3 linked regions of the Cricetulus griseus genome follow. The protein of the gene in region 2 purifies or fractionates together with the protein of the main gene of each other region. This does not show direct contact. Links are inferred from orthologs where the notes say so. Each region holds a gene or a part of one and is shown on either strand. Other genes may lie near its edges.

Region 1 (2,414 bases), on a different chromosome or scaffold from region 2:
CTACCTGGCATCTCTTCGAGGGCCTCCCTCACAGGGCTGGAATGCTGGCTAACAGGTCTGTGTGAGAAATGTACAATGCCTGCTGATCAGACCCACCACCAGGCCAGCTCTGGCAGGCCACTCGGAAGGCAGCCCACTCTGGTTCTGATTGTGTTCAGATAAACACAAGCATTTAAACATAATTACTGGTTCAAAGGCGTGAAAAGATTGCCCTCTCCAAGTGAGCCACACTCGCAATGATGCTTGATACAAATCCAGGCAGTGCTTCCTTACTGCTCAGTGGGACGGACACTGTCCAAAGGGAGGCTTATTCGGGGTCCAGCTTTAGTGACTGCTCAGTGTAACACAGAGACTACTGCAGGAAGCCTGCTAGGTTCTTAGGCAAGAAGGGTGAGCTAAAACTAATAAATAACCCTTTGGTACTGGCACACATGCACTTCCTTCCTCTGGTGGGATGCTGGAGAAGGAACAAGCACTCCCCCTCCTCGAACCTCAACAACCATCTCGGGACAAACCAAAGTGACACAAGCGAATGAATTAAAAGTTTAATTCTGAACCATTTTTATAACCGTATCTCTTGAAGCATTGTATCACAGCAGGTTACAACAACTTTGGGATAAAAGGCAACTGGTAAACTGTCCAAAACAAGGCTCAAATAACACCTCTTACTGATTTACCCTACCGCACATATCCCCAATAAAGTTTTTGTTCAAAAACATGAAATAGATCCACCTGCTTATTTTAAGCATATTAAAAAGGAAACTAATCGGACCATTTCTATCTGTCTATTTATACAAAAGGCTACACAATGTTACACGTCTCCAGATTACGATTAGCGTGATTATGAATTAGTGTTCTACACCATTACTCAGTTCTCAGAAATCAGGAATCGCTGTAGCAGGTTCACTAGAACATAACACTACAAGACTTAAAACTAACAGTTACTGCAAAAAAATAAGAGCTACTTCAAAGCAAGCAAAGTCAGTACCATTACAGATATTAAAAAAAATAAAAAACAAAAAATAAAAACAAAAGAAAAAAAAAAAAAAAAAAAACAAGCAAGGCTAGGGTTTGATAACGCCATCTTGTGATCCATTCCTGTGCATTCTTCACTGCGTGAGTCACTCCCCAAATCCATTTGTATTGTTACTCCTCGACCAAAAAGGACCAGAACAAAAAGTTTACTTCGACTGTTCCCATAGGAAACTCAGCTTGGTTAGTGTGTCAGGCACTTTCTGAGATACCAGCCCACCCCTCGAGCCCTCTCAGCAACTCTACAGGCCAATCACAATGCAAGTTCAGACAATGCAGCTGTACAGAGAGAAAGGCTGCTATTAATTAATGTTGAGAACAGCAAATGTTACTCGTCTTGAGTGTAACGCTGCAAAAGCTGTGGCAAAAACATCAAAGTGAAAAACTTCCACACATGGACATCTCCTTCCAAGGTATGTATCTGTTTTGTGGCAGATTTACAAACAGGCCTAAAACCATTCCCACCCCACCAAGTCTTTCTGGAGTTCTGTAGGCAGAGTAAAGTACTTCACCCACACTGGCTTTTATAAGCTGCTTACCTAAAGGTCGATTTACAGGTCAGTGTCAAACCAGGCCAGCTGATTGCTGTCACCTGGGGGCAGCCCGTCCATGAGGTCCTGGGCATGCCCCAGGTCTGGCAGCCCATCAACTGGATAATCAGCACCAGGGTGGTGGCCACCCATCTCATGCTCCATCATAGGGTCCATCCCCAAGGCATCCTGGCCGTATCCACCAGAGTGAAAGGAACGGTAGCTGGGATCTGGAAGAGTCAGCGCGCCCAAGACAGGCAAAGGAGAGAGACAGACAGACAGACGGGTTAGCCATGTTTAGGACACCTTGCCAGGAACATGCTTTCTAGTCTCCTCTTCCAAGTAATTACACAACACCAGGCTTTCCAAGAGCTCCAGAGACTACCACACACCTGCAGCAGTTCACTGTGCCTGACTTCCTGCGTGTGGCGCACTCAGCAGACTGAGGCCTACCTGGCAGGCAAACTGCGTATGACCGTGCAGACGAGGAGCCAGAGAGCTCCAACAGTTCCTTGGATAAAGCCTCCAGGATGGGGTGATGGCAGCAGTACCTTATGCTGCTCAAATCTGGGTCCAGAAGGCTCTGATGGACCAGCTATGAACCACCCATCCTAGACCCCTCCCTCTAAGACAAAAGTATGATACTGCAACTTTGGAATTCAGGGACCACCTTCAAGTACAGCTACCACTTCCCCCAGGCCCAGGCTCTCAGACGAGTAGACCAGCTCGTGGATGAAAGCTTTATAACATACCGTCCTGGCGATATCCAAGGGCTTCTCCCTGGGCACCAATGTCCAGGCCAAGATCAGCAGTCTAAATGGGTACAAGACAGAACATAAATTCTCAGAACCA
Region 2 (3,751 bases):
CTCGGCAGCCTGATTCCAATAACAGAGCCGAATCTTTTAAAATACAACTACGGAAAATAAAAGGGGAAAAAAACTTAAAATATCACAATAAATTTACAGAAATATTACAAACCATAAGAAAATATTCCAAACACAGTAATTCCATATTCTTTTATCTGAACAAAATGGAAAGGTGGGACTGAACAAAAGCTTTTATAAATTACCAACGATATCAACCTGCATGGACATTTTTTTTTTTTGCCTTTAACAGTAAGTTAAAAATTTAGTACAATCTAGAACATTTGCCCTTTTTAAACAAGACCAAGAAAATAGTCTTGCCAGTATTTGCTCTCAAGTTTTCCTTTTGTACAATTTTAAAACTAAAATGTTCAAATCCGAATAAATTTCTTTCTTCCTTGTTTGTAACGGTCCTAAATTTAAGCTGCAGAATCAAAACCCAGCAAGAACCCTTTCCTCGAAAAATATTGGCAAATTCTCAGCTTATAAACAATGGACATTTGATTGCCATGTTTATCTCGATAAATACTGTACAAAAGTTGCTTGCAAATATTAAAACTTTTTTTTCCGTCGCTCGGAGTCTAGCTCTAAATATTACTGGTAAAGACTTTTGCAAACTCCCTGCGAAGCGCCTAACATACCACTAGAACTTTTAAAAAAAAAAGTTTTGCGTAGTTTCTTTCTCCAGATCTATACATGGTCCGATTACCCCTCCCTCCCGGCCGCCCTCAGGTTTTCTCTGTACAAAAATAGTCCCCCAAAAAGAAGTCCCAAAATCTCTCATAAAAGTTTTCTAGTCGGCAACACGGTTTTTGCGTTAATTTGGATGGGATTGGTGGTCTTTTCCGCAGCTGTCATTTGACTGCGGGTAATGAGATTTTTTTTCTTTCTTTGAGCATGTCAGATTTTTCTTACTCTCCTCTTTTGCACCCCTCCCAATTCCCTTGTTTCTCTTTGAAAATCTCTCCCTTTCTCAGTTCGCGCTCCGGCCCTCACATGTGCGACAGGGGGAGTGTGCCGTTAATGGCCGTGCCGGGCACCGGGCCGCTCTGGTAGTGCTGGGCCATGTGCAGTCTACTGGGAGCAGCGGGCTCCGGCACCTCGGCGCCGGGGAGGTACATGCTGATCATGTCCCGGAGGTCCCCGGCCTGGCAGGGCGCCCTGGAGTGGGAGGAAGAGGTAACCACGGGGGGGCTGGAGCTGGCCTCGGACTTGACCACCGAGCCCATGGAACCCAGCGCCATACCGGGGGTGCCCTGCTGCGAGTAGGACATGCTGTAGGTGGGCGAGCCGTTCATGTAGGTCTGAGAGCTGGTCATGGAGTTGTACTGCAGGGCGCTGACGTCGTAGCGGTGCATGGGCTGCATCTGCGCCGCGCCGTGCGCGTTGAGGCCCGGGTGTTGCGGGTAGCCCAGCTGCTCCTGCATCATGCTGTAGCTGCCATTGCTCCAGCCGTTCATGTGCGCGTAGCTGTCCATGCGCTGGTTCACACCAGCGCCCAGGCCGGCGCCCACCCCAACCCCGCTCGCCATGCTGTTCCCGCCCGGGGCCAGCAGCCCTCCGGGAAGCGTGTACTTATCCTTCTTCATGAGCGTCTTGGTTTTCCGCCGCGGCCGGTATTTATAATCCGGGTGCTCCTTCATGTGCAGAGCGCGCAGCCGCTTGGCCTCGTCGATGAACGGCCGCTTCTCGGTCTCCGACAAAAGTTTCCACTCGGCGCCAAGGCGCTTGCTGATCTCCGAGTTGTGCATCTTGGGGTTCTCCTGGGCCATCTTACGCCGCTGCCCCCGGGACCACACCATGAAGGCGTTCATGGGCCTCTTGACGCGGTCCGGGCTGTTCTTCTGGTTGCCGCCGGTCGGTGCCGCCGTGGCGTTGCCTCCTCCGCCGCCGCCCCCCGAAGCTTGCTGCGGGCCCGGCGGCTTCAGCTCCGTCTCCATCATGTTATACATGCGGGCGCTGGGCGCGGGCGCGGCCCGCCGGCGGCCGCCGACCCTCGGCCCGGCCGGGACTGCGGGGGCCGCGCGCGGGGGCCGGGCTGCAGGGGCCGCGGGCGGGGGTGTCGGCGTGCACGGCCTGCGCGGAGATCGGGCGGAGAATAGTTGGGGGGAAGCGGAGCTCGAGACGGGCGAAGTGCAATTGGGATGAAAAAACAGACGCTCTCCTCCTCGGGCCGCCGCGATTGTTGTGATTAGTTTTTGGAAAGGCTTAAGCCTCGGGCTCCAAACTTCTCTCCTTTCTTTCTCCTCTTCTTTCTCCCAGCCCTAGTCTTAAAGAGGCAGCAAAGTACTTTTCCCTTTTTGCAAACACTCTCTTCTCTGCCTTGACAACTCCTGATACTTTTTTGAACAAGTTAATAGACAACCATCCATGTGATGGGGGCTGTCAGGGAATAAATGGGTTTCCGGCGGCCAATCAGCAAGCGCCGGCTCCTGCGCCGGAGCCCAGCCTCGCCAGAGGGTTTTGCATGAAAGGGGGCGGGGCCTGCCGCGCCGCCGAGCCGAGCCCAGCAGAGCGCTGTGCCCAGAGCCGCGCGGGGGAGGCGGGCCCGCAGCCTGCAGCCGGCCGCGGGGGAACCTTTGTATCCCCCTTCCTCAGCAACAGGTCACGGCGCACGCCTGTTCGAAGGAAGTGGGTAAACAGCACCAAGACGACAGCTCCTTCCCCCCTTGCTACGGAATATTGGCTCCCTCTTGGGTACATAAGGGAGGATGGGGCGCGGGGAGCTGGGGCCAGGGTGGGGCAGGGCCCATGGGTGGTTCAGGGCGACCGTCCAACTAGTATTTCAGGAAGCTGGCAGGGCCGGAGGTGGTGTGCCATTGTTCCTCCGCTCATCCGAGGCACTGCTCTCGGTTCCAGCCCCTCTTCCTACCTTGGTGCCAACACCCCCTAACCCCCTCATCTCACAGTACAGACAAGAAGTTAGACCCAAGCCTCGGGCCCCAGTGCCCTCCTGACTTCCACGTCATCTGCTTGGTTCCCAAACAAAAGTCCTCTGCCTTTTTGGCCCACTGAAGAGCAGAGCTAGGGACAGGCCTTGTTCACAGTCTTCTAGCCTGACTCAGGTGTGGTTTAAGGAACCGCAGCACGTGTCCTCAACCCTAACTCCCTCCTCCACCAGTCTGTCCCATCCAGAGGGTGCAAAGGCAAAGCTTGAACTCTCCTCCCACTCTCTTTCTAACCCCCACCCCCCGACACAGGAGGATTTCAGTGGTGGCAGTTTCAGATGAGAGCCTGGGGACGAAAGAATCAACAGAAAGAGACTCCAGAGTGCAGCGATGGGGGGAGGGTCACGCAACTTCCTGGCATCCTACCGTGAGGCACAGAGGTGGCATTTGGGCTGTGCTCACAAACTCCCTCCCACGCAGCGTTCCCAGGATGGGAGCTGCGCTGCCGGCATTGCCCCTGCTGACTGGCACGGTGGTAGCCGTGAAGGCCCGGCCGAGTTGGTTTAGGGAAGCACTGGGGCCTGGGAGGCGCGCGGGGTTCAGAGGTACAGGTGCAAGCCAAGTGTGTAGGGATAAGGCCTGCGGAACCCCGGGAGCCGGGCCCCAGCAATCCCAGGCTGCTGGAGGATGATGGGCCGGGGCGGGGGTAGGGGCTCAAGAATCTTGCCCGCCCAAGACCCGAGAGGGTAATTTTAGCCGATCTCCCATTGTCCATACGTAAAGATTTCAATCGGCAGGCGCTCAAAAAGCCCAGAGCCACCGCACCACGTCCGTTACAAATAGGTAGTTTTGTTTCTCTTGTTGTC
Region 3 (3,751 bases), on a different chromosome or scaffold from region 2:
AGAATCCTGCAAATAAAATAATTTTAAGTCAAAAAAACCAAACTCTCACAGTTCCATGCATTATACAACATGTTATTAAAATACCTCTCTGGAAACAGCTCTCTTTGGTTCCACCACACGCCCATCAACCTTGTGTGGCCGAGCACACATTGCAGCATCCACCTCTTCAACACAAGAGTAGGTCACAAAACCAAAGCCCCTGGAACGTTTTGTTTGGGGGTCTCTCATTACCTATAAAATAAACAAATGAAAGTATTTAAATAGTCTCATAGGTCCCCATCCCTTCCTAAGACAATCCTCACCCCAAGGACTCACCACACAGTCTGTAAGTGTGCCCCATTTCTCAAAATGTTCTCTTAAGCTATCATCTGTGGTTTCAAAGCTCAGACCACCAATAAACAGCTTCCTCAACTGTTCTGGTTCCTTTGGATCATGGCCCTGAGAAAAAAAGATCGATACAGTTTTATTTTTTCTTGAAGCAAATTGTTACAAGAGTCTCAAAATTTCTATCATTAATACTCCCAATTAAAAATCTGCTCTCTACGCTGGGCATGATAATACACACCAGTTAATTTCAGCGTTTGAGGCAGAGGCTAGCCTGGACTATGTATCCAGTTCCTAGCCATTATTAAGTATGTAGAGGGTGGGTTGTTGCCTTAAAAACAAAAAAACCCCACTACAATGGTACCCCGGGTCACTTTAAACATTATGTAACTAAACTGAACCCCAAAACAATCCCAGAGTAAAAAATAACTTTTTGAAAGCTACAAGTGTATGTTAGGGGTGTATTTCAGATGTGTGTAACAAGTCATTCACAACAAAAAAGAACCCAGGAGTCAGCATTATTCAACCCATGCCATTTTCACTATCCTCAGTCTGGAACAGCAACAAACCCGTATTTTAAAACACAATCTGTGAAATGCAACTTAAAAAGTTTGGAGTGGCAAATTGAGAGAGATTCAGATTTCCAGCACATCAGTTATCTAAGACATTCCTAGGCATATCCCACAAGAACAATACAAATCAGCGATAAGATTAGGCCCGTAGTGCTTTGAGAGGGGAGCTGCTGAGGGAGGTTCTCAAGGACAGGCTAGGCAAGACTGGGCCTTGAGGCAGTCCTACTTCAGCCTTCCACGTGCTAGGGTAACAGGTGTACATCATTACACCTAGTTGCACTACTTAGCTTTCTGTAATCAATTTAACTTGGTGGATGCCCATTTACATCATATAGTTAAATGATTTCAAACAGTACACCGATATTCACAAGTATATAATTTGAATTTGTCACATATAGCATATACCATCTGCCCAAGGAAGTAAGCACAAAACCGTATTGACTTAGAATATCTGGTATGAATTTTTCATTTGGAAGGTTTTAACATTCAAATGAATTGCTTTTAATGCACGCACTAAAACAATGCAACACAAATCCTTAAAGGAGACTCACAATCACATTTAAAAACTTCTTCAATCTTCTAAAGTAGTAATTAAAGCATTCAATACTTAAATACTGCCACATACTAGAAACACGTTAAATGATCAACTGCCCAAAGTTTTAATTCACGTAGTCCCATTTATTCAAGCCTCGGATGAACGCAATTGACAATACACAAAAACAACATCTCCGTACACACAAAAAAATCCTCGTAGTCGTGAAATTTTGACTGTGGTCGAAGTTCTCTAAAACCAAAATCCAGGAAACCACAACCGGTGCCAATCCACGAGAAATTAAATCGGTAAGATATTAAGCTCCAAATTAGCACTTATCTACACGCAAATCCTTGAAATGGTTAATCCTTCAACCACCAGACGCCATAAGCACTTTCATTCCAAACACTTGAGCGAAACTAGCGGGTTAGGAAGCACCTCAAAGCAGCAAGCATTTCAGTAATGTATCCCCAAATCAACGGTGAGAAAATCCGGCCGGAGATCTGCGCGGATTGCCGTCACCGAGGAGGCCCGAAGGCCCAGATACGCGCAGGCAGCACCCCAGCGGAAAGCACCGCGCCCCGAGGCTCGAGGCCATCTGCGGCAAAATGCCCGGCCGCCTCTCGCCGCTCCCTCCAATCCCACGCACTCCTCCTTGGCGGCGTAACCAGGCGGCGGCCATTGCGGGCCAATGCGCCATTTCGTAACGCGGCAGCGGATCAATGTCAATGTGGCCGCCGCCCGCCTGCTCGCTCGCTCGCCCGGATGTGCTCCTCCCCTCCCCCACCGCCTCCTCCCAACCGCTCCCGCGGAGGCCCGCCATGCCGCCCGCGGCCTCGCCAGTCAGGCCGCGCAGGCCTCGGGATCCTCGCCCGGCCGCGGACCACCTCCCCGGCCGCGCCGCGTCTCCGAGGGCTGCTGGTGCGGCCGACCGAGAGGGCCAGGCCGACCGAGGGCCTCGATGGGGCCGCTAGGCCCGCTCCCCTCCCCCTCCCACCGCCCTCTCAGCGCAGAGCGCGGGACGATCGTCCCGGTTTCCCCCGGCCTCCCCGCTCCCATCGAGCCAAAGCCCCCCCACGCCGGCAACTACCCAGCAACCCCCCGCTCTCCCCCTAATACCTCCTCCCCCCGGCGGCGGCGGCGACGGCCGGAGTCAGGCTGGGGGCGACCGGGCGGCGGTTTTACCTCCATTTTGAGACCGGACTCGCCTCTTCCAACTCGAGTTCAATATGGGACCGAGAGGAAGAGGCGGGGCTAGTCATCACGTGACGCGCTTTCCGCGCGCCGCCCGCCCCTCGGGGGCGGAGTCACGCCTAAGCGGAGCGCGACTGGACGGGCGGGTTGGCGGGCCGAGAGCGGCGGGTCCGGATTGGTCGAGCCGCGGGAGCGCGCGCGCCTCACCAACTTCCAACGCAGCGCCGCCCTCGCCGCGGTTCGCGCCAGGCAACGTCAGGTACGTCAGCGGCAGCTCGACCAATGGCAAGCGCCCACGTCGGGAGAAAGCCGCGTGACCGCGCGTCCGCCCAGAGAAAGGCCTATTCCCTTTCTTTTTGGCGCCTCTCGCCCCTCCCCGCGCGCTTTTGGGTCTCCATTTCCCAGTTCACCCTATTGCAGTGCCGGAAGGAAGAGCACGCTTTTCTGTCCTGCGACTTAAGGTTGCCAGAAAGCCTGCGGACCCCTTTGCCTCCCTCGCGGAATCTAAATGTTGGGGGCCCGAGGTGTGCAGAGTGTGACGGCGCCGTCCCCTTGGGAGGCCCACGCTGCAAGCCCTGCGGCACTGACGTTCCTAAGTCCCGCACGTCGCACGGGCGGGAAAATGCGGCTGACTGGATGAGACTCTCTATAGGCGACTCTCAGAGTTAAAGAATTAAGATTTTTATCAATCTGGGGGGAAGGAACGGAATCGTTTGTTTAGGGCACAGAATTTTAGAGAATGGAGCCATTTCCAAAGTTTCTTTTTTTCTTTCTTTGTTTTTATTTACTTATTTATTGGGGGGGGGGTTCGAGACAGGGTTTCTCAGAGGTTTGGAGGCTACCCTGGAACTCACTTTGAAGATCAGCCTGGCCTCGAACTCACAGAGATCCACCTGCCTCTGCCTCCGGAGTGCTGGGATTAAAGGCGTGTGCAAACTAACGCCTGGCTCCAAACTATCTAAAAAGGTTTGGTGGCCAGATAGGCTGTCTTTTACTAGTGTCTTTTTAAAATGACAGCTGTTTGAAGTTTTATTGTGAAGCACATAAATGAAATAGAAATCGAATCCTTTCTCGGCCTGGCAAAGGGATTTGAAATCATTTGGACTTTTAGATTTTCAAATAAAAGTCA

What was found.
Region 1: the proteins of Sox2 (region 2) and Ctnnb1 purify together in Homo sapiens (affinity purification with mass spectrometry; 3 studies listed by BioGRID and IntAct, with this or other methods). This does not show direct contact. The link is inferred for Cricetulus griseus from reciprocal best matches to the Homo sapiens genes SOX2 and CTNNB1.
Region 3: the proteins of Sox2 (region 2) and Hnrnpa3 purify together in Homo sapiens (affinity purification with mass spectrometry; 3 studies listed by BioGRID and IntAct, with this or other methods). This does not show direct contact. The link is inferred for Cricetulus griseus from reciprocal best matches to the Homo sapiens genes SOX2 and HNRNPA3.

What each region holds. Positions count from the first base shown.
Region 1 is NC_048597.1:228,017,350-228,019,763, reverse strand, and holds the end of Ctnnb1 (catenin beta-1), read right to left. Parts: intron 2,376-2,414; coding exon 2,315-2,375; intron 1,793-2,314; coding exon 1,584-1,792; 3' UTR 1,572-1,583; exon of another isoform or gene 1,153-1,571; 3' UTR 532-1,152; downstream 1-531. UniProt on the Homo sapiens protein: Key downstream component of the canonical Wnt signaling pathway.
Region 2 is NW_023276806.1:114,823,903-114,827,653, forward strand, and holds the start of Sox2 (transcription factor SOX-2), read right to left. Parts: upstream 2,256-3,751; 5' UTR 1,950-2,255; coding exon 990-1,949; 3' UTR 1-989. UniProt on the Homo sapiens protein: Transcription factor that forms a trimeric complex with OCT4 on DNA and controls the expression of a number of genes involved in embryonic development such as YES1, FGF4, UTF1 and ZFP206. Binds to the proximal enhancer region of NANOG.
Region 3 is NC_048599.1:99,410,013-99,413,763, forward strand, and holds the start of Hnrnpa3 (heterogeneous nuclear ribonucleoprotein A3), read right to left. Parts: upstream 2,699-3,751; 5' UTR 2,620-2,698; coding exon 2,548-2,619; intron 439-2,547; coding exon 316-438; intron 232-315; coding exon 85-231; intron 7-84; coding exon 1-6. UniProt on the Homo sapiens protein: Plays a role in cytoplasmic trafficking of RNA. Binds to the cis-acting response element, A2RE. May be involved in pre-mRNA splicing.